Canis lupus familiaris: one gene and its partners. The main gene of each other region encodes a partner of the protein of the gene in region 7 in a complex. Links are inferred from orthologs where the notes say so. Each region holds a gene or a part of one and is shown on either strand. Other genes may lie near its edges. The genes, in order: USP39, LSM5, PRPF6, PRPF3, LSM6, PPIH and PRPF4.

Region 1 (3,500 bases), on a different chromosome or scaffold from region 7:
TATGTAATACTCCAAATCCTTTGTGGTCATTTCCACAATCCTCACAGCATCTTCACCAGTAGATTCCACCTCAAGAAACCACTTTCTTCACTCATCCGTAAGAAACAACTCCTCATTCACTAAAGTTTTATCATGAGATTGCAGCAATGCAAATATAATAAAAAACCTGAAGTACTGCAAGAATTCTCAAAATGTGAGAGTCAAGAAGCGAGCAAATGCTATTGGAAAATTGGTGTTGAAAGACTTCCTCCGGATGCTTGGGTGGCTCAGCAGCTGAGTGTCTGTCTGCCTTCGGCCCAGGGCATGATCCCGGAGTTCCTTGATCGAGTCCCGCATCAGGCTCCCTGCATGGACCCTGCTTCTCCCTCTGCCTGTGTCTCTGCCTCTCTCTCTGGGTCTCTCATGAACAAATAAAATCTTTAAAAAAAAAAGACTTCCTCAACACAGGGTTGCCACAAACCTTCAATTTGTAAAAAGAACAACCTCTGAGAGGTATAATAAAGCAAAGTGCAATAAAATGAAGTATCCCAGTAATGATTTCATAATATACCTTTTTCTTAATTTTTTCTTTATTTTAGAGGAAGGGAGGGAGGGAGGAAGGGAGGGAGGGAGGGTATGTGAGAGCACATGAGCAGGGGGAGGGACAGAGGAAGAGAGAATCTCAAGCACACTCAGCGCTGAGGAGGGAGCCGAAGGCAGGACTCAATTTCACAACCCTGAGATCATGATCTAAGCCAAAATCAAGAATCAGATGCTCAAACAATTGAACCACCCAGATGCCTCTTTCAAAATTTGCTTTTAAACCAGTCCATAATGGACTACTAGAGAAAGGGAAGAATGAAGACTTCACTTTAAACTTTCTATATCTTCTACCCCCAAAAAGATATTTGTTTTTTTAATTAATTTTGGTCAATTAAGCAAAATTATTAATTTTCTTGTGTTTATCAACATTTTCTAACCATCCTACAATGCATAATATTACTCAGTTTTTTTAAAAAAAACTTTTTTTGAAGAATTTATTTATTTATTTGACAGAGAATGGGAGAGCACAAGCAGCGGGAGTGGCAGGCAGAGGGAAAGGGAGAAACAGGCTCCTCACTGAGCAGGGAGACAGATGCAGGGCTCCATTCCAGGACCCAGGGATCATGACCTGAGCCAAAGGCAGATGTTTAACTTACTGAGCCACCCAGGCGCCTCTACATAAACAAACCTTAATTGCAAATAAGACAACTCTGGTTTTCTGCATTCCTCAGTTCAAGCCGTAAGCTTAAGAGCAGGATCAAGACATCAGACAACTAGCACAGGAACATCTGCACTATTTCACACACACACACACACACCCCATCTTGCACATATGTTTCTTATTTGGTACTCCCAAGCCATACACACATTCTATCCTTCATTCCTTGAAAACTCCAGAGGCCACTGACTCCAGAGGCTAGAAGAGGCCTCACCATCTGGCAGCAGCCCTTTGAGCTGACACAGAAATGTTCTGTTTGATATAGAACACTCAAGTACAGGGGCGCCTCAGTGGCTCAGCTGGTTAAGCGTGGGCCTTCAGCTAAGGTCATGATCCCAGAGACCTGGGATCCAGTTCTGGTGTTAGGCTCCCTGCTCAGCCGAAAGTCTCCTTCTCCCTCTGCCCCTCCCTTCTCCCACTCATTCTTTCCCTCTCTCTCTCTAATAAATAAATAAAATCTTAAAAAAAAAAAATAGTCAAGTACAGTCCTCAGCAAGACTTGATGTCTTCAAGAACCAATGATCATAACAGAAAGGAGTCATTTCTTGGCTAAACTTCATGGTATTCCCAGGTTACCTCTCTCCCTCCCCCACTGTTCCCATCCTGATCCTACCTGAAGGACAGCGTTGGCGTAGTCGTTGGCCTTTATGTTATTCAGGCCCACAATACCTGGCAGGTAAGTAGTACCATCATATGCCCGGGAGAGTTTGGCTTGCTTGTCCAAGTTTGCAATCTGCTGCTTTGTGAAAGTGGGCTTCAACACATACTGCAAAGCAAAAGAAAATTCCAAGCTGTTGCAGGACTGCTACAGAGTTCACAAGATATATCTGAAATAGCAATTTCTGCCAGAAACAGGAAACACTTTGGTTGTGAATGCCTCACCACACACCCAAAGGGCTCCCAACAATAGGTATAAAGGCTGAGGTAATATGGAACAGGCCCTCTCCACATTATTAATGTAGAAAGGGATCTCTGTGTTTAACCCAAAATCACTGAATCCTAGGTCTTTCCTCAAGCCCCAGGTCTGGCCAACTCCATGATAAATTAAATGACTGTCAGAAGCTGGAGGACACTCAAGTTTCTGCAAGCAGCAGGAGGCAGAATCTCACATGGGACTTCACACAGAGCCAGTATAGGCCCAGCACAGAAGCAGTAATGCAAACCTGAGATCTCATGAATTCTCTGTGGTTAGAGGGGCAGGAACAGAACCTTCCCCAGTCCCAGAGTTACAAGGGTCATTATGTAAAGGGCTGAACAGAGGTCTTCTACTAATTCATTTTAAAACCTTGCATTTATTTGTTTCTCTTTCTCCAAGTATTAGAACTACTTTAACCTCAATTGTTAATAGGCCTATAAAACTTATAAAAGCAGCATAAATAATGTTTCAAAACTCTGAACACCAAGCTTTCCTTAAAAATGAACAGAGCAGTCAACATGTGTATGTAGACACTTGCTTAAAAGGAAAATTATAATCAACAGTTTCAACATTAATCAAACCCAAGAAGACTTTCCATGCTCTCCACTTAAGTACAGTGACTCTTGGATGGCTCCATCCAGTGACCTGGATGGCTCAGTGGCTGAGGGTCTGCCTTTGGCCCAGGTTGTGATCCCAGGGTCCTGGGATTGAATCCTGTATCAGGCTCCCCGCAGGGAACCTGCTTCTCCCTCTGCCTAGGTGTCTGGCCCTGTCTCTGTGTCTCTCATGAGTAAGTAAATCTTAAAAATCTTTAAAAAGGAAAAAAAAAAAAAATACAGGGACTCTTGGCACAGATCACACACCAGAGCCCACATATGGGATACACTGGCCATTCTGGCCGCATCATATCAAAAGTAGCCAGGAGCTGGTATGCAGCTTGATATCCACTGTCCTACACCAGGCCCAATTCACATCCCTATTCCAAAGTATAAAAGCTTAATATAGTTCACAAAGTAGCCATATTTCTTTAGTCCTAAAGTTAGAAAGTAGCCATATTTCTTTAGTCCTAATTCTCAACATTAAATGCAGAAATAACAGCTAGGCTACAGATCAGACCACATTTATGAATCCTGATCTTCTTACTAGAGTCTCCCTGGTTCCTCCCAAAGAAAAAGAAGCCTCTCCAAGCCCAAGGGATTGAGATTCTTCCGTAACCTCAGGTGGGGCAGATCCCCAGGAGCCCTGGGATGGCTCCCAAGAGAACTAGTTCCAAATCAACCCTCATGGACACATACTGTGATATCCTCCAGGGAAGAATCGATGATCTCATAGTTGTCTGGAAGG
Region 2 (3,992 bases), on a different chromosome or scaffold from region 7:
TACTCAGCAAAATGCCAAATAGTGTGTAGCTAATGCATATTTGTTCCATGAATGAATGATGTGTGTATTACAACTATCTGTTGTATGAATGAATGATGTTTTTTTCTGCTCTCTCCTGTTTAGACTCGTCAGCCTTACGTTCCTGGGATACAAATATGAAACAGACTTAAGGCAGAGAATTTGTTTGCTTTCTATTCTTTGCAAAACAGAAGTGCAAAAAGCCTGGGATCCCTGGGTGGCGCAGCGGTTTGGCGCCTGCCTTTGGCCCAGGGCGTGATCCTGGATACCCGGGATCGAATCCCACGTCGGGCTCCCGGTGCATGGAGCCTGCTTCTCCCTCTGCCTGTGTCTCTGCTTCTCTCTCTCTCTCTGTGACTGTCATAAATAAATAAAAATTTAAAAAAACAAAACAAAACAAAAAAAAAACAAAAAGCCTTAAGGTTTCCTGTGTGATGACATTAGCGGACAGTGACATCTGGTGGCTGCTTATAAGACAAGACAGTTAAGTGTTGAAAGTGGATACAGTCTGTGATAAATTGGACTCCTAGCTACAACAAGGTAAGAATGATAAGGTAGTAGGCATAAAAATAAAATGTGTTTTAAATTTCCACTGTAGAAGGTTTTTTTTCTTTTTAAATGCTGGTTGTGGGTTTTCAATTCACTGGACTTTAAAAAGAAGCACTAGATTCTTTTTTCTCTCTTCTTTAAATAGGCTCCGCACCCAACGTGGAGCCCAACCAGCGGATCCTGAGATCAAGACCTGAGCTGAGATCTAGTCTGAGGCTTAACCCACTGAGGCACATGGGCGCTCTAGGAGTAGATGCTTTGAAAAACGGCTTTTACAAAAACTGCAACACAGTGCATTAGTGGCAAAAAAAAAAAAAAAAAAAAAAATTTTTGGTTCGGTCTGAAAAAAGATCCTGGCTTGAGATGAGGTGCAACTTCATAGCAGAAAATAAGACGATTCAAAGATTTCCGTATTTTGCAAAACCTTCCGGGTTGCAGGAAGGATTTATTCACAAAGCAGGATCCCTTTAGCGTCTGTCTGTCGGAAACTGCCCGGGGAAAGCCGCTACGTGCCCAGACCGCACCACCTGCAGCGGACGGAACCTTCTCCCCGAGAGCTCAGCGCCCGGGAAAGAAGCGATTGGGAAGGAGCGACTCCTGCGGACTGATTGGATCGCAAGTTCGGCCTCCGATTGGTCGAGCCTGTCCGGGCCGCGGGCCGGCGGGGGGAGCGGAAGCGCGCTCTTTCAAACTTGCCGGGCTGACGGCGAGGCCGGCGGGCCACTTCCGGCGTAGCCATGGCGGCCAACGCTACCACTAACCCGTCGCAGCTGCTGCCTCTAGGTAATCGCGGAGAAGGGGACCGGAGGGCTCAGGCTAAGTGTTGGGGCCCGGGCGGCTGCGGCTGAAGTAGCCCTTGGTCGAGTGTTAGGGAAATGTGGGGATGAAGGGCCTCAGTGCTCCGCGGCTCGTCTGCCGGCTCCCGAGTGTCTGCGGCCCCGGGCCGCCCGGGAGCCTCTCTGCACTAGGCACGAGGGCTGGGCGCTCTTGGACAAATTCAGACGCCTCCCACTGCCTGCGGATAGCACACACACCAGGAGGAGATAGAGCGCTCCACCTGTAAGCATCACGCCGAGTGATAACGAAGCCAGCTAACGAGGCGTTCAAACTGCGGTCCGAACACAGAGATAGTGACAGGAAGAAATCTCTGGTGGATACGGTTGTGCCTCTTCCGATATTTTGTAGCCAAAGAGTTGATGGAGTTATCGGAAGTGGCCTTGTTTTGGAAGTTTTCATTCTTTGATTCCACCAACTCTTTTTGAACGCTTGCTATGTGCCAGACATTGCCCACTGAGGATAGAGTCCTGGGAAAACAACCACAGTTGTTTCATGGGGCTTAGACTCTTAAAAAAAAACATCAAACAAACATTTTTATTCATTCATGAGAGACACCCAGAGAGGTGGAGAAGCAGCCTCCATGCAGGGAGCCCGATGCAGGACTCGATCCTAGGACCCCAGGATCACGCCCTGGGCTGCAGGCAGGCGCTAAACCGCTGAACCACCTGGGCTGCAGGGGGTGGGGGGGGCTCAGATGTTAATTATATATTAATTATGCATTTCGTATGTTAATCAAAATCACTTAAAATAACATTAAACCACAACCGTGATGGATAAACTTCAACAAAGGAGAGGTAAGTGGTAAACAGGACGTTTTTGTTTATGCAACAGAGATAACGTACCGTAAAATCTCTAAAGTTTTTGAATGAATACTTTCTCTGGTTTATCTTTCACAGTAAGTAACTAACAAGTGCCAGTAGGCATTCCAATATTTGTTGAAGAAATGAACAGGTAAAATAATCTTTTTTTCTCCACCCCCCCACCCCTCTTTTTTTTTCTTTAAAAAAAAAAAATATATATATATATATATAGAGCTCGTGGACAAATGTATAGGATCAAGAATTCACATTGTGATGAAGAGTGATAAAGAAATTGTTGGCACACTTTTGGGATTTGATGACTTTGTCAGTATCCTTTCAAAAGGTGGTGGTGGTATGGGTTTTCCTGCAGTACTTAAGAACAGAAATAAGAATATGGACAGTCAGTACGTAACTGGTTATTGTATTAGAAATTTATTCACCTCTTGATAGCGTTTTAAGAGGTGTGTGTACTGAAAAAAGATAAAGTTCCTACCGATTACTAGTATTTTGCTCTGGAGCCATTGTATTAAACGTTGTAATTAAAATGGAGTAAAGATAGAAGCCAGAGTAAATTCAACCTGGTATATGTATTTTTCTTAACACCAAATTTCAGATATGGTACTGGAGGATGTCACTGAGTTGTGAGTAGTGTTAAAAATTAAAGAATTGGGGGGAATCTCTCCTTAAGTCAATTTTAGTATTAATGAGTTTAAAATGATTAATGAGAAAACATTGCCTGTCAGAAATACCTTAAAGATAGAAATTTTATCTACTGACACTGGTAAAATTGGATCAGTTATTACCGGATGTAATTATTATGTTATTATTAATGACTGGTAGGGACTTAGTGGAGACTGAGCTTTGAGATAAAAGATACTAAAAACAGCCAAGGATGTTTGTGCTCAGACAAATCAAGGCATTAAACTTAAGATATAAATGATAGCTCCATTATATTAGTTTTAAAGATCACAACCAGTGTCTGCTTTCAAAATTGAGTTGATTACAGATTGGTTTAATGGGTAAGGGATTAGTAGTAAATAATAGTAAAAAGGTGAGGCTAGTAAACATTCCATTTCATATTTGATCTCTTTGGCCAGTTTTAGCTTCTTTTAGTTTTGATCCTAGTGGATGTGGATCTGAGGCCAGTCAGTTCACTGTGTTGCCTTTGGTCATCCAGTGGATAACCTTTGTCTCTGAAAACTACTGACATAATTGCTCAACCTCATATTCATATAATATAAGAATAACTTTTTTAGGGATCAGAATGTTGGCTTTGATTATCATTGTTTATCTTGACTCTTTTATTTCTTCATTTAGTGAAATCACACCAGAAGGAAGAAGGATCACTAAATTAGATCAAATTTTGCTAAATGGAAATAATATAACAATGGTAAGGTACAGTAAAGCTGGGCGTTTTTTTAGATGTAGCCCATTTTTGTGAGGCAGAGATTACAGATTACTTGGCTTGGTTAAATAAATGTTCATGGCCCAGTGGGTTTAAGTTGGGAATGAGATGCTCCTGTGATCAGGGCTCTAAAGCTGAGCTACTGAACATGACAATAGGCTTAAAGATTAGTTTGCTTGGGCTTTTTAATCTTTTGGTTTGCCAAGAATCATTGTTTAGACTCTAAGTATTAATTGACGATGTTGGGATTATAAACAGAAGCAATGACCTGGAGAAAATGGGAATGTGGGGGAGGAGCAAAGAGGCCAGGTATCTTTGATGGGTGAAAAGGGGTTTTTAGATGATGGGTGTGGTGGTGGTATTAATAAGCTCTTTTTCCTTCT
Region 3 (3,500 bases), on a different chromosome or scaffold from region 7:
GGGCTGGGGTCCGGCAGGGTGCAGGTGCCACCGGCAGGGTCAGGGTCAGGGCCGGGGTCCGGGGGTGCGCGGGGCGGTGGAGCCCGCTCAGGACGGTGCCTGCATCGCGGGCCGCCCGGGAGCCTGAGCGCCGAGGCCTGGAGCCCGTCCCCCGGGGCACAGGGGCCAGGACACCTCGGAAGGGAAGCGTCCCCGCCTAGGCCCGGTCCTGGGTCCCCAGGGAGGGCACAGGCCGGTGTCCTCGGAAAAGCGTCGGAAACCAGTAAAGACGCGCCAGGCTCAGGCCGAGGCCCCGCCCCCCCGCCAGGCCCCCGCGCGCATGCGCCTGTCACCTTCTCCCCCGCCGCTGCCGCCCCCGCACGCAGCCGGAAGTCGCTCTTCGGGAACTTCCGCCCGGGGAAGGCGGGGTGGGCGGGGCTTCGGCGGCCCCGGGGCTCTGCTTCCGGGGCGCGGGTGACGCGGAGCCCGCGAGCTCTTCCGGTGCGGCGGCCGGGGTCGTCTAAGGCCTGTCGCCTCCCGCCTCCCGCCTCCCGCCTCCCGCCGCGGCTTCCGCGCCGTCGCTCCCGGGGCCCTGGTCGTCACCGGCGCCATGAACAAGAAGAAGAAGCCGTTCTTGGGCATGCCCGCGCCGCTCGGCTACGTGCCGGGGCTGGGCCGGGGGTGAGGCTGGGGGGCCTCTCGGGGCGGCGGGCGGGCGGGGGCTGGGCCTGGGCCGGGGAGCAGCCGAGCGGCGCGGGCCTTGGGCCGTCCCGGGGCGTCGTCCGCGAGGGTCTGCGAGCGGGTCCGCCTGCCCTGCCCTGCGCCGGGTGCCCCGCGGCATCGCCGTCCCGGCCGGTCGTCGGTTGAGGCCGGTATCGGGCTTCCCTGCGGGGGCGGGGGGGGGGGCACCAGCCTCCGAGCACCTGCAGCGTATCAGGTGCAGAGGGAACAGGTGTCGGAGCCCGGGGCGTGCTCGGCGGAGCGGTGGCACCTGAGCCCCGCTTGGGAGCAGAGCGGGCCCGGGACGCGGGAATGTGGCTGGGGCTAAGGGACAAGCGGGCTTGATGTGTGCTGGGTGGTCAAGAAAAAAGGGCAGGCGTGGAGGAAGATGAGGGAGTCTCGGGGAGTCTGTGCGAGCCGAGTGCAGGTGAGTGGGGTGATGCCGCAGGTCGGGGGGCAGAGCCCGAGGAGCCACCGACCCCACCACGCCCGTGTGGCGGCCCAGGAAGGCTAGAGGCCCGGCGGCCAGCGGGGTCCCAGCTGCCGGGGAAGCTCAGGTTTGGGGAGGAGGGTTTCGGAGGTAGACTGGGTAGAACCTGGTGACTGACGGGGCGGAGAAGGCGGGTGAGGGAGGCAAAGCTGATGCCCTGGTGTGGGCCTCGGCACTTGGGATGGCGCTGCAGTCATCAGCGGCAGCAGCCCAGGGCAGCGGCAGGATGAGCACAGAGGGCATCCCGAGGGGCTGGTTGGGGGAGATGATCAGCGGGTTGTGAGAAGCAGGAGGCTGGATACTCGGGAGGTCGGAGCTCTGATGCTCTGATGAATCTCTCCAGGAGGATGTGGGTGGTGGGTGGGGCTCCGCAGAGTAGGTCCAAAGGGGTCTCCCACGGAGAGAACAGACTAGTAACGTTTGAGAGTGCAGCATCCCTAGCGCGTTGCTGCCTGGATCCTCGGGGGTTTTCTCCCCAGACACGTTAGAAGAGCAGCTGTCATGGAGGACTGTGGAGGAAAGAACAAAGGGACGGGGTCACCCAGATAAACGATGTCCCCGGGTCTCTTGCAGTGCCACTGGCTTTACCACCCGGTCAGATATTGGGCCCGCCCGCGATGCAAATGACCCTGTGGATGACCGCCATGCACCCCCAGGCAAGAGGACCGTCGGGGACCAGATGAAGAAAAGCCAGGCCGCGGACGACGATGACGAGGATCTGAACGACACCAACTATGATGAGGTGACACGTGTGCACTCCCGGCCGGTCTCCAGAAGGGTTGACCAGCTTCTGAGCCCACTGCGCTCTTGGCATCTGATGCCCGCTCGGGGCAGGAGCAGGGGTGGGGGCTGGCATGACTAGTATTTCAGCCTCTAGTATTTCAGCCTCCTACGGGGTATCTTTAGCAGAGTGTGAGAGGGGAGCAGGAAAAGTAGAAAGAGATGTGCACTTTTGAGAGATGTACTTGCATTGTGGTGGTGTCTTGGCTGGTCCCTAATGATGAAGATTCTAAGTGGAATTGAGGATGATACTTGATTTATTACGTTTCAGTGCATGCTCTCTTACTTGATTAGTATTTGGTCTGTTGAAATTTTCTGCAGATGTGTTCTAACAGATGGCATTTTTGTTCAGAGGGAAAGATTGTTAAAATTTCAATTTTGAAATGATTTTAAGCTTCCAGGAACTTTGCAAAAATAGTACGGACAATTTCTGCATACCCTTCACAAGCTTCTCTCTATATTACATGACCTCAGTACAGTTACTATTTTTATTTTTTAAAGATTTTACTTACTTATTCATGAGAGACACAGAGAGAGTGAGAGGCAGAGACACAGGCAGAGGGAGAAGCAGGCTCCATGCAGAGAGCCTGATGTGGGACTCGATCCCGGGACTCCAGGATCACGTCCTGGGCCGAAGGCAGGCGCTAAACCACTGAGCCACCCAGGGATCCCTTCAATATAGTTATTGAAACCAGGAAACTAACATTGACACAGCACTGCTAACTGATTTATAGGTCTTATTAAATTAACACCGATTTTTCAGTGGTGTCCTATTTCTGATCGAGGACCCTGCATTGCATTCTTTGTGTCTCTCGTCTTCTTATTGGGGTAACTTCTCCATCTTTCATGCCCACGAAACCTCTTTTTTTTTTTTAAGATTTTATTTATTTTTTAAGATTTATTGAGAGCATACAAGCATGCACATACACACACACACACACACAAACACAGGGTGGGGAAGGGGCAGAGGGAGAGAGAATCTCAAGCAGACTCCCCACCGAGCATGAGGCCTGATGCGGGGGGTCGATCTCATGACCCTGAGATCATAACCTGAGCCGAAATCAAGAGTCATTTGCTCAACCGGCTGAGCCATCCAGGCACCTCCTCCCCATGACACATCTGAAAAGAACTGTTTAGTTATTTTGTTTTCCCTGATTTGGGGATTGTCTGATTGAAAAAAAATTGTTCAGCAAACATAACTAGATGTGTTCTCTGTTTCCACTTATGGGAATTGCTGACCTTCTCTGTTTTGTGCTTAGTTTAATGGCTATGCTGGGAGCCTCTTCTCAAGTGGGCCCTATGAAAAGGATGATGAGGAAGCAGATGCTATTTATGCAGCTCTTGATAAAAGGATGGATGAAAGAAGAAAGGAAAGAAGGTAAGATAAAGTATTGCCCTTCATATCTAATTATCCAACTTTAATTTTATTTAATTATTTTTTTAAAAGATTTTACTTTTTTTTTAATTTTTTTTTTTTAATTTTTATTTATTTATGATAGTCACAGAGAGAGAAAGAGAGAGGCAGAGACAT
Region 4 (3,500 bases), on a different chromosome or scaffold from region 7:
GAATTACCCAGACGCCCCTCTATTTTTTAAAATTTACTTTAAATTATTTTCAAAATTTATTTAAGTCATCTCTACATCCAACTTGGGGCTCAAACTCACGACCTCAAGATTAAGAGTCACATGCTTTTTTCAATGAGCCAGTCAGGAACCCCTGTAAAATTTACTTTCTTAATATTTCTTTTGAGTAGTTCAAAATGCAAAAAAGTACAGTAGGGTATATTATTATTTCTTCCACCTCTATTCTCCATAAAGCACCAGTTATCAGTTTCTTTCCTTGCAGAACTATCATCTACAGATACAAATAAGCAAATTTAGGGATGCCTGGGTGGCTCAATTAGTTAGGAGTCTCTCTCTTTTTTTAAGTTATTCATTCATTCATTCATTTATAGTGGGCGTGCACGCACAAGCAGGCAGAGCAACAAGCAGAGGATGAGGTAGAACAAGCTCCCTGCCTAGCAGAGAGCCTGATGTGGGGCTTGATCTCAGGACCCTGAGATCATGACCTGATTTGCAGGCAGAGGCTAAAGCAACTGAGTCACCCAGGTGCCCCAAGAGTCCAACTCTAAATTTCAGTTCAGGTCATGATCTCAGGGCCAGGAGACTGAGCCCAGAGACAAGCAACGTGCTGGGTGACAGGAGATGCAATGGGCATGGAACCTAATTAAGATTCTCTCTCTCTCCCTTTGCCTCCCTCACCTTAAAAAAAAAAAAAAAAAAAAATTCATTCACCATTCACCCACCGATATGCATATGTATATATTCTATTTCCCTTCCAGGAAATCTTAAATGGTTGAAGAAGTATTTACTGTTTATATGGTATCAAACCTGTTTGTTCCTTTTTTTATTCTATATATTTATTTATTTATTATTATTATTATTTTTTTTTAATTTTTTTAAGTAATCGCTACACACAACTGGCTTGAACTCACAACCCCAAGATCAAGAGTTGTATGCTCCACTGACTGAGCTGCTCAGGTGCGCTAGTATCAAAATTGTTTTAAGAGAGCCCATTTTTAAAAATTAATTAATTTAGGGCAGCCCCAGGGGCCCAGTGGTTTAGCACCGTCTTCGGCCCAGAGCGTGATCCTGGAGACCTGGGATCGAGTCCCACATCGGGCTCCCTGCATGGAGCCTGGTTCTCCCTCTGCCTGTGTCTCTGCCTGTCTCTCTCTCTGTATGTCTCATGACTAAATAAATATTTTTTAAAAATTTACTTTAATCTCTCTTTTTTTAAGAATTTTATTTATTTATTTGAGAGAGTATCACAGAGAGCACAAGTAGGGGGGATAGGCAGAGAGAGAGGGAGAAGCAGGCTCTCTGCTGAGCAGGGACCCCCATGCAGGGCTTGCTCCCAGGACCCGGAGATCATGACCTGAACCAAAGACAGATACTTTTTTTTTTTTTTGAAGACAGATACTTAACCAACTGCACCACCCAGGCACCCCAAGAAAGTCCATTCTAAAAATATAGAAAATTCCTATTAAAAACAAAAACACAAAGTCGGGGCACCTGGGTAGCTGAATTGGTAGAGCGTCTGACTCTTGGTTTTGGCTCAGGGCATGATCTCAGGGTCCTGGGATGGAGCCCTGCACTGACCTCAGCAAAGTCTGCTTGGGATTCTCTCTCTCTCCCTCTGCCTTCCTCTCTCACTTGTGCATGCTCTCTAAATAAGTCACATCTTGGAGGATCCCTGGGTGGCTCAGCACTTTAGTACCCGCCTTCAGCCCAGGGCATGATCCTGGAGTCCTGTGGTTGGGTCCCACATCAGGCTCCCTGCATGGAGTCTGTTTCTCCCTCTGCCCGTGTCTCTGCCTCTCTCTCTGTGTCTCTCAATCACATATTTAAAAAAACAACAATTTTAAGTCAACTTAAAATTATTTTAGTGGGGGATCCCTGAGTGGTTCAGCAGTGTGGCGCCTGCCTTTGGCCCAGGGTGCGATCCTGGAATCCTGGGATCGAGTACCGCATTGGGCTCCCAGCACGGAGCCTGCTTCTCCCTCCTCCTGTATCTCTGCCTCTATCATAAAATAAATAAATAAATAAATCCTTTTAAAAAATTATTAATAAAAAAATTATTTTAGTGGGTTATACTGTCTCTGCATTGTATTTAGAAATTCTCCTCTGCCATCAAGCTGAGTTCTGATTACTTCAACAATTTTTTTTCTTTTTAAAGATTTTTATTTATTTATTCATGAGAGACACAAAGAGAGAGGCAGAGACACAGGCAGAGGGAGAAGCAAGCCCCATGCAGGGAGCCCAATGTGGGACTCGATCCCGGGTCTCCAGGATCAAACCCTGGGCCAAAAGCAGGCGCCAAACCGCAGAGCCACCCAGGCGTCCCTACTTCAACAATTTTCTCAATGATCCAATGAGGTACACAACTGGCTAAATGATATGTGTAATACACCTTGTTTGCCACATAATAGGTACTCAGTAAATGCAATTTTTTTTTTTTTTTATTTATGATAGTCATACAGAGAGAGAGAGAGAGAGGCAGAGACAGAGGCAGAGGGAGAAGCAGGCTCCACGCACAGGGAGCCCGACATGGGATTCGATCCCGGGTCTCCAGGATCGCGCCCCGGGCCAAAGGCAGGCGCCAAACCGCTGCGCCACCCAGGGATCCCAGTAAATGCAATTTTTAAAAAAGATTTACTCATGACACATAGAGAGAAGCAGAGACATAAGCAGAGGGAGAAGCAGGTTCCCTGTGGGGAGCCCGATGCAGGCTTGATCCCAGGACCCTAGGATCACAACCTGAACTAAAGGCAGATGCTCAACCACTGAGCCACCCAGGTGCCTGAGTAAATGCAATTTCAATAGTCTTCATTGGAATACTCCTCGTTAAACTGAGAAATGACAAAACATAAAACAGGAAATAAAAGTTCCCGATGCTAAACACTAATTCAAATTAAGGTCACAATGAATCTGGACCCATGCATCTCTTGCTTCTTCAACTCATAAAATCACTGCTTTCAGTTCCTAATTACTCACCTGGAGCTTAGTCAGCATGCCAGGACTCTCTGAGGGAGGCCCAGGGATCACTTCAGGTTCCTCTTCCACCTCCTCAAAACGGGGTATCCGTCGCTTCTTTACTCCTGATGATTCCTTGGAGATCTCAGAGTCATCACCAAACACTTCCTAAGGAAACCCAAGACAAAATAAGAGTTGTCTCCCTGCCCACGGGACAAAGGAAGAATCATCCTAGTCCCTATCAGCATTTTGTGGCTTTTCCCAGAGGCCTCTAGACCCTCCACCAAATGGACCATCTCACCCAACTTCATCATTCTCCTACTCCAGTCAAGCAAATTTCATCTCCATGTCCTTATAAATGTTCCCATCTCAAAGTCTTTAGAAACGCTACTACCTACAGTTGTAATGATTTTCCCTCAACTTTTCATATCCCTGTTCCAAATCCTGCCTAAAACTCACCTCCTCCAGGAAGTTTTCCTCATTAATAATCTTATCCCACTCTGATCAAACTGTTGCTTCACATCCTCTTA
Region 5 (4,123 bases), on a different chromosome or scaffold from region 7:
ACAGAGGGGGTACCTAGCCCTCTTCTGAAGGATTCATACCAATTCCTCCTCCCCATCCAGGAGAGGGCCACTTTCCTCCCCTCTCTCACTCCAGCCATGAATCCAGCACTCAGAGAGCACCCCTTCCCATTTAGCAGGCTGTTCTGCAGTTTTCCTGTTGATCAGTCTCCCACAGTAGGTTCTAAGCTTCTCAGAGACAGGGGAAAAGGAACCTAAGCTCACCGGCCAATCAATCCTGTGGGAGACATTTGAGGACAGTGCCAAGGAAAATCCCTGTCCCTTTCACCCCTACCCGCAAACTATGGGTATAGTGACTAGCACTGCATCATCTGTGCACTTAAATGGCTATACCACAGTCATATCTCTGCTACTGACCACCAAATAAAAGACAAAGAAAATAGAAATGTTTCTGTGTTGTACAAGAACCAGCTGCATCCGAGTCAACAGAGATGCTTGTTAAAATGCAGATTCCTGAAGTCTACTACTCCTAGTCAGACTCCCCAGGCAAGGGGACACCGTAACTGACATTTTATAAAGCTTCCCAAATGATTCCTGTAAGCAAATGCGGACATCTGGAGACATTCTGGACTGTCTTGAATGAGGAGGGTGGTGCTAGGACATAGAGGCCAAGGATGTTGCTTAACATTCTAAAAAGCACAGGACAGTGCTCCACAGCAAAGGATTATCCGGCCCAAAATGTCAACTGAGGTTGAAAAACTCTGTTATAAACCCTTTATCAAAAAACCATTGTTCTCTAGTATTCAAGCAACAAGGAGTTTTAAAAAACTTTCAAGGTATAACAAATGAGAACAAACAGCTCAATTCTAATCAGATGATCGAGTACAAATTCTAACTTTTAATTTTTTTTTAAATTCTAACTTTTTAGATACTTTATCCTGACATAAAGGGAATCTAAAAACAACTGTCAAGAAATCTTGAAGGGGGGGAAATCCTTGGGTGGCTCAGCGGTTTGGCGCCTGCCTTTGGTCCAGGGCGTGATCCTGGAGTCCTGGGATCGAGTCCCGCATCAGGCTCCCTGCATGGAGCCTGCTTCTCCCTCTGCCTCTCTCTCTCTCTCATGAATGAATAAATAAAATCTTTAAAAAAAAAAATCTTGAAGGGTTGCCATTTTAAGTAATGGATTTCTTAGTCCCAGTCCTGAAAATGGTCAATTTCCCAAGTGTTACACTTCCCTCAGATGACTAAAATCTCTGTTATTTCTAACAGGACAAAATAATTCAAGTGATGCCAAGATTTTTAAAAATGCTCATACAAGTATGCCACAGTTTAGTGAGAGACCACCCAATGCAGCATAAGGAGTACTCACTTGGGAGATGGGAAACCTGAATTCTAATCCCAGTTCTGCTACTTAATGTAGCTGTATACCTTGGAGAACTCATCATTTCACCTCTCAAGGCCCCAGGTTCCTCATCTGCAAAATAAGGGAGTTATGCTGGATGACCACTTAAGAGATCATCCTGCTCTAACATTGTCAGCCTATGCAGGAACTCCAGTAATACTTTTACACACACACACACACACACACACACACACAAACCCAAGATAATTCTCTAGACTCCTGCACAAAATTCAAGCAATTGGCATTATGAAACACCACCATAAAAAAAAAAAAAAAAAAAAAAAAAGTGAGGGTGACGTGTTAGAAATACATATTATGAGCTATCATACTTTTGGTGAAAACAGGCACAACCTTACATGAAATGCAAACTGCTAAAACTCTCCTGGAAAACAATTTGGCAAGGGGTATGTAGATCTGAAGAGACCTTACTGGGGCACAGCACCTATTGTAAAAATGTCCTTGCTCAGAATCAATCCAAGTGAATCATCCGAAATGCAGTTTTAAAAATAACGTTTATCAAAGTACTACCTGGGATGCTAGGATGAAACAAAAATTCGCAAACACCCTAAATGCCTCACAGTCGGGAAATGGCTGAATAATTTACGGGACCTACACAAGGACAGAACAGGTAGCCCACCAAAAGGCGCAAAACCAGAAATAACATTTAAGAGGCACTTTTCAATGAAAGCGGACAACTCTCTGTACTGTTAACGGAGGGCACAGGTAGTCGTAGCTCAAACAGGAAGTGGCACGTGCAAGAGTAAAGATGGAAGGGGTTCAGTGAATAGGGCTTCCTTCGCTAAGCGCTTCTGAGTCCAGGATCTCCACAGCCTGTGTCTCTGCGGCATTGGGGGGGGGGGGGGGCACCCTAAGGCCCCATCCCCTGCTCCGGCCGCGCGCGCTCATCCGCGGCAGCCCCGGCGCCAGGACTCGACGCCGTACCCTGCGGGCGCCCGCGGCCCGAGGCCCCAGGCCCCGGTAAGGTGGCCGCGGCGGCCCCGGAGCCCTCGGAACCCGGCGCGGCCCACGGGGCCCCGCGGCCCGCTCTCCCGCCCACCCGCCGGCGAGGACCCCGCCAGCAGCCCCGGTCCCGGTCCCGGAAGGCGAGTCGGCGGCGCGGGGAGGCTGCGGCGGGCGCCCGCGGGGTCCATCGCCCCTCCGGGGGGCTCTGGGCCGGGCCCCTGGGGTCCGCGCGGCCCGCCTCCCGGCTGCCGCTCCCCGCACCCACCCCGGGCCAGCGAACACCGGGGCCCCCGCCGCCCGCGCGGCCGCCCGGCTCACCTGGCGGCCGGGACCCAAACCCCCGCTCCAGGTGGCGCGCAGCTGCGGCCTCCGCCGAAGCCCGGGCGAAACCGAAAGTGAAACTGCCGGAGCGGGCGGCGCGCCTCTGCGGCCGCCGGGGAGCGCCCTTCCGGGCTACGGCAGCCTGCGGGGCCCAAGAAGGCCGCGCTTCGGCGGCGCGCGCCGAGCCGGGAGTCTCGTTTGGCCCGAAGGCAAAGTTGGGGCTTTGGCGGTCAGAGGAGAAAGAGCCGCTGCTGCTACCTCTTAGCAGAAAGCAAACACCCCTTAAAATACTTAAAACAAAACAAAGCCTGGAAGTGATCTTTTAGGCAGGATTTCCTTTAGGCAGAGATGCAAGAAATAGCTTGAAGTCCTACTAAACTGGAATTGACTACTAGGGTCATGACTATACAGGCTCGGAAAGGTCCTTGAAAAAGTTAATGCAAATAAATAAAGCAGGCATCCTCAAATCTTTAAATCCACTTTGGATTTTGATCGTGCGATGAAGTCATTATTAGCAAGAGATTGTTTCCATGGCAACGTAATTGCCACAAAAAGAATTAAAATCCCTAAAGTAGCTCCGTATTATAATGGTATGACTTGCGTTACATTACAATCTAGTTCTAATTGGAAATGGTATGCAGACATTATTTAAGTGCTGCTATGGGAACTTGGTTTGGAATTCTGCATGGATTCTCAATATTCTTGCTATTAGTGGAAAGGGCGAAGAAAAAGAAGTAAAGTGTTATACCAACACTTGATTCCTTTTTCTCCTCACACACATACCCTCAACTTAAAACCTATACTTTAATTCTGCTTGTGATTTGCAACACTCTAAACAAAGAAATAATATCTTTGGACAGATTCTTAACTCTTAAGTGTTACAGATCTAAGATGCAGGGTTTTTTCCCTAAGATCTACATGAGTTTCCCCTCTCGTAAACCTGTCTTAGCTGAAGAAAGAATCTTTGATTGATATGACGGCCAGAGAACAACTGGGTGTGATTTGGTGGTGAAAAGAGATTTCCTTATATCCTTCCATAAAAGCTCACTTTGGGTAAAAACCAAGCATTACAGATTTCTTGAAAAGGCTTTATTTGAAGCTCTTGCGGTATAAGATATAATGTGAAAAAAATTAAGTATCATTTAAATAAAATAATTAGCTGCAAAGAACAAACATAATCAGATATAAAGAAAACCCTGTCCCTAAAAAGCCTTCCTCACAAAAGACCTCAAATTGTACTATATTCCTCAGTGGTTGTTTCAGTGATTCATAAAAAATAATTTTTTGATTCATAGCCTTTTTCTCATTGCTATAGAGCCCTGGTGGAGTCATTAAGACGGGTGTGGTAGGCAGGAGGCAATGAGAAGTTTTAAGGGCATGGTTCATCTGCAGGCATAGTTGCTACCTCTTCCAAGAGGCATGGATCTCTGAGGGCCCCGCTGGACCAGTGCAGCAGGCACCATTGATAAACTACAATTA
Region 6 (4,127 bases), on a different chromosome or scaffold from region 7:
TAACCTTTCCTAGACAGGAAGGAAGTCTTTAAAAATTCCTCAAAGTTTAACTAAATAAATATACATAAGAAGGAGAAAGACATCTCCCAAGACTCAAGAAAATAGCAACATGACTAACCAAATGATATTAATAAGACCACAGACATGCACACAAGTGGTTGGTTAAGAACAAAAGTAGATTTAAGAAGAGATATGGTTTATTCAGCACCTTCCAGAGTCAGAGGAGGGCGAAGAGGCTTGGTATGAGAGACACATACAGTCTAGTCACAAGAAAGTCCATTAATCGCAGCGAAGAGCCATTCTACTGGGCCCCGCTAGTAAATAGAGGAAACATCCTTCCAGAATGATCTACCTCTGTTGCTCTGATTCTTTGCCCACTAAATCGGTTTCTGATGAAAAACTCAGCTTTCCAGGCATGTGCAAATAGGACATAAGCATTTAGCTCACTGAAAGAGAACTTACTGCCATTTAGAAAACAAAACAATTGCATCTGATTTCTACCCAAGTTTCATGTGACTGACTAGTTTGCATCTCTCATGGATCATCTATAGGCATGCTGGGAAAGTTAGCTTCTGGCCCTAAAAGGCTGATTTGGAAGTCAGTGACTCAATCAGGGTGCTGATGTCTGTCACCTAATGGTATAAAGAGTGGAAGCCAGCAACTCTAAAGGACATTCCTGTCACCCCTCTTCCTCATCAAACTTGGTTATTGTTTCAAGCCTCAGGACTGGACTCCGTAGCAAAAAAAATAGCAGCAACAGCAGTAATAAAAACCAATATTCCTACAGGTCTTTATTAGCAAAGAAATAATACTTACATTAACAAAATCCCCACCCTGGATCATGAAATCTTTTATGACCCTGAAACAGAGAATAAAGCATCCTGAGAGAAGGTTCTGTCATTTAGAAAAACATTGACGTACTCATTATACTTTAGATTAACACTGATTTAAAAATAAAACGTTTTTTAAACTTTGGTGTTTTGTTTTTTTTTTAAAGACTTTATTTATTTATTCATGAGACAGAGGGAGAGAGGTGGGGGGGCAGAGACACAGGCAGAGGGAGAAGCAGGCTCCATGCAGGGAGCCTGAGGTGGGACTCGATCCGGGGTCTCCAGGGTCACGCCCTGGGCTGAAGGCGGCGCTAAACCGCTGAGCCACGCGGGCTGCCTCCTTTTTAAAGAATGTTCTGCTCTAAAAAAAAAAAAAAAAATGTTCTGCTCTTACTGGCTTTAGCTAATCAGAATCCATCCCTGGGGGTCTGGGGATGGGGGGAGAGGATGCTGAGAACACTGTTAATTGTAACCTTGCACCTACTGTTAATACCTTGGCATTTCTGCTGAATTCAGTTGGCAAAGTTCTGGTGCTAAACCGCTGAGCCACCCAGGGATCCCTTGGTTTTTAATAAGCCTTCAAATCTATTGTTGAGTTCACAAAAAACATTCCTTCTCAAGATCTAGGAATTATCCTATGGTTTTAGTTCCCTTTAAAGAAATGAATCTTACTTTCTAAAGAAAGTAAGAAATTACAGGGCAGCCCGGGTGGCTCAGTGGTTTCGTGCCTGCCTTCGGCCCAGGGTGTGATCCTGGAGACCCCGGATCAAGTCCCGCGTCCGGCTCTCTGCATGGAGCCTGCTTCTCCCTCTGCCTGTGTCTCTCATGAATAAATAAATAAAATCTTAAAAAAAAAAAAAAGTAAGAAATTACTTTTTTAGAAAGTAATTCTAAAATCCTGCAGGATGGTTTGCCAAGCCTTACCTGTGGAAGGTGCTCCCTTTGTATCCTATCGGAACCCCATCTTTTCTATAACCAAAAAGAAAGAGACTTGGAATGACGACAAGTAATGACAGGTCTTCCCAGCTTCCCACACACTCGAGCCAAGAGACTCTCTAAAGGTGGTGGGGAGGAGAGAGATAAAGGAGGCAAATGAACTGAAGACAGACCCTTGGGGTATTAACCTTCTACTACCGGCACCAGCAATCATTCAAGGCCTACGGGCGTGGTTCCCCAAAACCCCACTGCGGCCCCGGGGCACCCTTCAGGAGCGAGCAGACGAGTCAACCACGTCTGAGAGACTGACCTGAATTCTCCAGTGCAGAACTGCCTGAAAGGGAAAAGAGGGGATGCTTCAGTCTCGGTGACCCCACAGCGGGGGGCGCTCCTGGCGCAGAGGGGCGGGGAGGGGAGCGCGGCCTGAGCCCCCCGCGGGCCCGCCGGCCTCGACACCCAGAATTACGATGAACTGAGATGGGAAGGGTAAAAACGGGGACAATTCGGAGCTCCGATCTCAAGGGCGGGGAGCGGGCCGCCACGCAGGCCCGGTCCGGCTCCCGGTTCCGATGAGCATCCCCTTACCTAAAATTCTCGGCCGTCTTCGGCACAACGTCTGCAAAGAGCTCGATCTTCATGCGGCCGACCTCCTGCAGGCGGCGGGACACGGTCAGAAGGCCTCAGCGAGCAGGGATCCGGGGGGGCGGCCCGGTCCCCCCCGCCCCCCGGCGGGGCGCTGGGATGCGCGAGACGACTCCTCTCCCTCCCGAGCCCCCCGCCCCGCAGGTCGGTAGGTCCCGGTCCAGCTTCGCCTTCTGGCTTCCCGAGTCCGCTATCCCCGGGTGCGGGAGACCCTCCCGGCCGGGCCTGGAACCTCACCTGGCCGCCGATGCTGACATCAAAGAACACCACGGGATTGACGGGGCTTGAATTTGCCACCGCCATGGCTCCGACCCGGAAGCAGTAGCCGCAGGCACCGGTTCCGGCGAACCCGAGCCCCGATTTCCGGGGCTTCTACTCGCCGGCGCAGGCGCAGGCAGAGCCACCCGAGGCCAGGCCCCGCCCCCCGGAAGTCCCGCCCCGCTGCGGAGCGCTCCCGGCCTCCGGCGCCGAAACTGGGCGTCGCGGAAGTGGGCGGGGCCAAGGCCTCCGAGCCGACGTACACGGCGCGTCTTTCCCCCTCCGCTCAGTGTGCGCCGCGGCGGCGCGGGAGGCGGTGGGTCTTAGGTGCTGGACCCTGAGCGCTCGGGTTAAGCCGGAACCGGAGTTCTGGTTCTGCTCGCGAGCTGCCCCTCTTGTCACCTACAGTTCATTCCTGCTGGAGCTTTTTGTTTTTTTCCCCCTTTTAAAGATTTTCTTATTTAATCACGAGAAAGAGAGAGGCAGAGACACAGGCAGAGGGAGAAGCAGGCTCCATGCAGGGAGCCCCACGTGGGACTCGACCCCGGGTCTCCAGGGTCACACCCTGGACCGAAGGCAGGTGCTCAACCGCTGAGCCACCTGCCCCCAGCTAGAGCTTTTAAAATGAACCTGTTTATAGATCATTCCTGGCCTCCCATCCTTAGCTCTAGTGCCTACTATTGAGTAGCCCATAGTGAGGATCCAATAAATAGATTCAATGAATTGAGTGAAAAAAGGTGACCTTGGGCAAGGCTTAGAGTCACAGCCTGTATCTGATATCATAGCTATTGTGTCCTATATCCTTTGATCATCCTTTTTGGCCAGTTGTCTGCGGAAGCAGGGGTTACATGTAAAAACTCAATGTCTCAACTTAATGGTGTCTTTTTTATTTTTAGTTACTTTTCCTTTCCCCTTGGTATCCTTCTCTATCTCCAACTGAAGAGGGAGAAGAAAGAGTCCGAGGAGAGTAGGAGGGAGAGGAGCAGGATGGGAAGAAAGAACAGCAGGAGTCACCCTTCAGTATAGTTTATACCAACTATTCTAAAATAATTTTTTTTTAATTGGTAATATCCAATGTTGATGAGGTTGTGGAAAAACCAGTGCTAGTGAAAATCAGTGATGATGCCTAGCATTTGTTAAGCAGCTACTAAGTTCTAAATACACATTTCATTTACTTTGGTCCTCACAACTCTATGGGACAGGAATGACTACTGTTCCCATTTATGGATCAAGAAATTGAGGCTTAGAGAGGTTGACCATAGGGGCACCAGTGGCTCAGTCGATTAAACATCTGACTGCATCTCAACTCAGGTCTTGATCTTAGGGTGGTGTGTTCAAGCCCCACATTGGGCTCCATGCTGGGTGTGGAGCCTACTTAATAAAAAGAAAAGACAAGAAAAAAAGTCTGACTATAGAAACATTATGTTGACACAAGTTTTTCTTTTTCTTTTTTTTTTAAAG
Region 7 (3,500 bases):
GTGACACACAGACTTCCTTTTTGCTTTCTAAAAATTTCATTGCCATCTTGACACAACAGCCCAGCTTCGGGGTAACACAAAGGATGCCAAACCTCAAAGCAAAAAGGAAGACCTTTTCTGACAGGGCAAATGTTCAGTTCTGAGCTTCCCGATGCAGTCAGCATTCCAAGCAAACTCAACAGGAAGAGGTAAAATCTTCTTTACTGCAAACCCTGAGCATAGCTGTGGTCTACTTCTTCATCTCCCGTTCTCAAGGTAGAGGAAAGGTTCTGTCAAGGCATTGGTTAACCAGTGTGTAGGGAGAAATGCCTCTTTCCAAGAGGGCTCCCAGACTAGCTCCCAGTTCAGCTGCCTTGCTCTGTGGGTCACATGGAGTCCTGAAGCATGTACCATGTAATGGAAAGCCACGTTTCAAAATTAAAAATGTAGCCAGTCACAATCCTGAGTGCTGTGAAGGAGGCAACAGGGCATTCAAACAAAAGATTAATAAAAAACAATGTCTACACAGTCCGTGGCAAGGCTTGAAGATGAGAATTAGAATTTCAACTATGAAAGGAGTTCGTCAACACCCAGAGACTGGGCTCTCTATCTGGAGTGGAGGCTGACCTGGAAATCCAATTCTTTTGAGGGTCTATACATGGTAATTGGCAAAAAACATGATGAACTAAACAGGTCAATTCCTTTCTTTTAAAAATGGCCCTTAAGAAAGAGCTTGAGCTTAGAGTCCTTCTTCCCTGGTCCTGCCTATTCAGCCATCCAGAGCTTGAAGGTCCTGTCGTATGAGCAAGTGGCTATGAGCTGCCCATCAGAAGAGATGTCTAGGCCCATCACTTTGCCTTCATGGCCAGCCAGAGTCTTCAGTGGGGACCAGCCTGGGTGGGTCCAGATCTTGGCTGTGTTATCATAAGCACCAGTGAGCAGAAAATTCCCATGGATAGCTTTAAGAGAAAAGAAGGAGGAGCTGCTTGAGGAATTCAAGTATCAAAAGAGCAAAGAAAACAAAAGCACAAAAATCTGCTACAATATATGATTTCAAAAAAGAAGGTATTTCCCCATTTGGAAAAGCCCAATCTTCTCATCTACATTCCCACAAGGCCTCCAGGAGAAAAGGACTATAGGCAGACTTAGGGAAAAAAACAACAATATTAAGGGCTTGTGCCTCTTCCCCTGACCATCTGTTTAGAATAAATTAAGAATGCAGTGCTTACAACTTTCAGGGAAAAAAAGGACTCAAAGCATTATAGAAGTCTTCTTCACTTCCTAAAGCAAGCATGCTATGCCATAGCTTTGTCTGAAAATATGGTAGAGGAAAGGAACTTAGAATTTGCTCCTTTTTCAACAAAGGCCAAATTCTCTCCTGTTCCACTTCTAAGTTAAGCTAAAGCTTGGCATGCATTCCGCGGAAGTGCAATCTGTCTGTCCTGTGATTAGGCAAAATAGGAGGAAAGCTTACGCTCAAACTTGACACCAGTCACTAAGTTCTGATGGGCAGGGATGGTATAGACACAACGCCGTTGTCGAAGGTCCCACACTTTGCAGGTGTTGTCACCACTGCCAGTTGCAATGTGGTAGCTGTGGATCAGATGTAGTATCAAAGTTAGAAACAAAGACACATTCTGACCAATAACCCTTCCCGTTCCTCATGAGATTAGTTGATCTTACCCATTGGGGGAGAAATTTATTCCATAGATTTCTTTCAGGTGACCTTCTAGGAACATGATACACCGTCCTGTGCGCAAGTCCCAAACACGACCAAATGCATCCAGTCCCCTGACAAAATAATTTATAAGCAAACATTTTGAATCCATTTCTCCATGGAAGCAGGCACACGTAACAGGTGAACTATTGATCTGCCCCTGGCTATGTGGAAGAAGGCTTACCCAGTGCCAGCCAAAGACCCATCTTGATGGAAGGCAATGTCATACACACCCATGCTGTGGCCTTCCTGATGCAGGATCTCCTCTTGAGCCTCCAAATCCCATAAGCGCCACGAGCGGTCATAGCTACAATAAAAATCAAACTAATAATTAACTAGCAGATATTCAGTTCCTACAATGTGTGAAGTACTATAAATGCTTATAGCTTAAATTATGCTTCTGAAACTATTCATATAATCATATTAAGAAGAAATCCTTTTCTGGCATAAAAAATACTTCAACAACTAGTCATTATCTGTCTTGAGTGCTACCTGGGAAACCATGGACTTCCATAAATTTACTTCAGGGGCGATTTTAAGAATACCCAGAATGGCCCAGCAGAGACTGTAGCCTCCCTTCTTTTTCAATTCTACTGTTAACTCTTTTCATTCACTGAGTATTTGTTGGGCCTTAAATTGGATGTTGGGGATACAAAAATCAGTCATAAACAAATACATCTATGCAACAAATGAGAGAGGATAGAAAGAGACCCACACATTTTTGGTCAAATGATTTTGATGAGGCTACTAGAGCAATTTCAACAGGGAAAATAAAATCTCTTCAATAAATGGTGGTAGAGGGGCACTGGCTGGCTAAGTTGGTGAAGCATGCAACTCATCATAGGGTTGTCAGTTCAAGCTCCACGTGGGTGTAGACATTACTTAAATAAATAAAATTTAGATTCTGGGACACCTAGGTGGCTCAGTGGTTAAGCATCTGCCTTTGGCTCAGGTTGTGATCCCAGGGTCCTGGGATTGAGTCCTACATCAAGCTCCTTGCAGGGCGCCTGCTTCTCCCTCTGCCCATGTCTCTTTGCCTCTCTCTGTGTTTCTCATGAATAAATAAATAAAATCTTAATAAACTTAGGTTTTATTTTTTTAAGAAAGAGTGTGAGTGGTAAGCGAGAGAATTTTTTTAAAGATTTATTTTAGAGAGAGAACACAAGTGGGAGGGGCAGAGGGAAATGAAAGGAGAAACACAAGCAGACTCCACGCTGAGCCTGATGCAGGGCTCGATCCCAAAACCGCTGAGATCATGACCTGAGCCAAAACCAATAGTTGGACGCTAAATGACTGTGCTGCCCAGGAACCCTGGGAGAGAATTAAAAAAAAAAAAAAATTATTTATTTATTCATGAGAGAGAGAGAGAGAGAGAGAGAGAGAGAGAGAGGCAGAGATACAGGCAGAGGGAGAGGCAGGCACCATACAGGGAGCCTGATGTGGGACTCGATCCCAGGACTCCAGGACCACGTCCTGGGCTGAAGGCAGGCACTAGACTGCTGAGCCACCGAGGGATCCCCTGCGGGGAGAGAATCTTAAGCAGACTCTGTGCTGAGCATGAAGCCCAGTAGGGGGCTTGATCTCACAACTCTGAGATCAGGACCTGAGCTTCAATCAAGAGTCAGATGCTCAATTGACTGATCCACCCAGGCGCCCATTAAATAAATAAAACTTAAAACACCAAAACCCCCCCACAAAAAAACCCCACCTCAAATAAACGAAAAAATAATAATAGAACTGTTTGTGAAAATAAAAAAAACTCAATTAAAAAATATAGGTAAAGCACCTGGAGACTGCACAAAAG

The links.
Region 1: PRPF4 (region 7) and USP39 share a complex: the UniProt entries of both Homo sapiens proteins name them as parts of the U4/U6-U5 tri-snRNP complex. The link is inferred for Canis lupus familiaris from reciprocal best matches to the Homo sapiens genes PRPF4 and USP39.
Region 2: PRPF4 (region 7) and LSM5 share a complex: the UniProt entries of both Homo sapiens proteins name them as parts of the precatalytic spliceosome. The link is inferred for Canis lupus familiaris from reciprocal best matches to the Homo sapiens genes PRPF4 and LSM5.
Region 3: PRPF4 (region 7) and PRPF6 share a complex: the UniProt entries of both Homo sapiens proteins name them as parts of the U4/U6-U5 tri-snRNP complex. The link is inferred for Canis lupus familiaris from reciprocal best matches to the Homo sapiens genes PRPF4 and PRPF6.
Region 4: PRPF4 (region 7) and PRPF3 share a complex: the UniProt entries of both Homo sapiens proteins name them as parts of the precatalytic spliceosome. The link is inferred for Canis lupus familiaris from reciprocal best matches to the Homo sapiens genes PRPF4 and PRPF3.
Region 5: PRPF4 (region 7) and LSM6 share a complex: the UniProt entries of both Homo sapiens proteins name them as parts of the precatalytic spliceosome. The link is inferred for Canis lupus familiaris from reciprocal best matches to the Homo sapiens genes PRPF4 and LSM6.
Region 6: the proteins of PRPF4 (region 7) and PPIH are in contact, whole or in part, in a crystal structure (PDB 1MZW), measured with the Homo sapiens proteins. The link is inferred for Canis lupus familiaris from reciprocal best matches to the Homo sapiens genes PRPF4 and PPIH. Residues at the interface, in NP_004688.2 of Homo sapiens: Arg113, Gly116, Glu117, Pro118, Ile119, Thr120, Leu121, Phe122, Gly123, Glu124; in NP_006338.1 of Homo sapiens: Phe14, Arg26, Phe46, Cys47, Thr48, Gly49, Pro57, Ile58, Gly59, Tyr60, Lys61, Gln173, Cys174, Gly175, Glu176, Met177.

Annotation. Positions count from the first base shown.
Region 1 is NC_049238.1:39,808,387-39,811,886, forward strand, and holds part of USP39 (U4/U6.U5 tri-snRNP-associated protein 2), read right to left. Parts: coding exon 3,452-3,500; intron 2,105-3,451; exon of another isoform or gene 2,007-2,104; coding exon 1,854-2,006; intron 1-1,853.
Region 2 is NC_049235.1:44,955,705-44,959,696, reverse strand, and holds the start of LSM5 (U6 snRNA-associated Sm-like protein LSm5), read left to right. Parts: upstream 1-1,192; 5' UTR 1,193-1,304; coding exon 1,305-1,350; intron 1,351-2,436; coding exon 2,437-2,532; intron 2,533-2,817; coding exon 2,818-2,845; intron 2,846-3,521; coding exon 3,522-3,594; intron 3,595-3,992. UniProt on the Homo sapiens protein: Plays a role in pre-mRNA splicing as component of the U4/U6-U5 tri-snRNP complex that is involved in spliceosome assembly, and as component of the precatalytic spliceosome (spliceosome B complex).
Region 3 is NC_049245.1:48,289,014-48,292,513, forward strand, and holds part of PRPF6 (pre-mRNA-processing factor 6), read left to right. Parts: intron 1-482; exon of another isoform or gene 483-589; coding exon of another isoform or gene 590-660; intron 661-1,762; coding exon 1,763-1,931; intron 1,932-3,228; coding exon 3,229-3,347; intron 3,348-3,500. UniProt on the Homo sapiens protein: Involved in pre-mRNA splicing as component of the U4/U6-U5 tri-snRNP complex, one of the building blocks of the spliceosome.
Region 4 is NC_049238.1:60,216,107-60,219,606, reverse strand, and holds part of PRPF3 (U4/U6 small nuclear ribonucleoprotein Prp3), read right to left. Parts: intron 3,139-3,500; coding exon 2,992-3,138; intron 1-2,991. UniProt on the Homo sapiens protein: Plays a role in pre-mRNA splicing as component of the U4/U6-U5 tri-snRNP complex that is involved in spliceosome assembly, and as component of the precatalytic spliceosome (spliceosome B complex).
Region 5 is NC_049236.1:44,949,823-44,953,945, reverse strand, and holds the start of LSM6 (U6 snRNA-associated Sm-like protein LSm6), read right to left. Parts: upstream 2,801-4,123; 5' UTR 2,642-2,800; intron 1,433-2,641; exon of another isoform or gene 1,328-1,432; intron 1-1,327. UniProt on the Homo sapiens protein: Plays a role in pre-mRNA splicing as component of the U4/U6-U5 tri-snRNP complex that is involved in spliceosome assembly, and as component of the precatalytic spliceosome (spliceosome B complex).
Region 6 is NC_049236.1:754,211-758,337, forward strand, and holds the start of PPIH (peptidyl-prolyl cis-trans isomerase H), read right to left. Parts: upstream 2,801-4,127; 5' UTR 2,712-2,800; coding exon 2,646-2,711; intron 2,417-2,645; coding exon 2,352-2,416; intron 2,101-2,351; coding exon 2,077-2,100; intron 1,800-2,076; coding exon 1,755-1,799; intron 860-1,754; coding exon 817-859; intron 1-816. UniProt on the Homo sapiens protein: PPIase that catalyzes the cis-trans isomerization of proline imidic peptide bonds in oligopeptides and may therefore assist protein folding. Participates in pre-mRNA splicing.
Region 7 is NC_049232.1:68,065,220-68,068,719, reverse strand, and holds part of PRPF4 (U4/U6 small nuclear ribonucleoprotein Prp4), read right to left. Parts: intron 2,004-3,500; coding exon 1,881-2,003; intron 1,771-1,880; coding exon 1,663-1,770; intron 1,573-1,662; coding exon 1,454-1,572; intron 939-1,453; coding exon 745-938; 3' UTR 1-744. UniProt on the Homo sapiens protein: Plays a role in pre-mRNA splicing as component of the U4/U6-U5 tri-snRNP complex that is involved in spliceosome assembly, and as component of the precatalytic spliceosome (spliceosome B complex).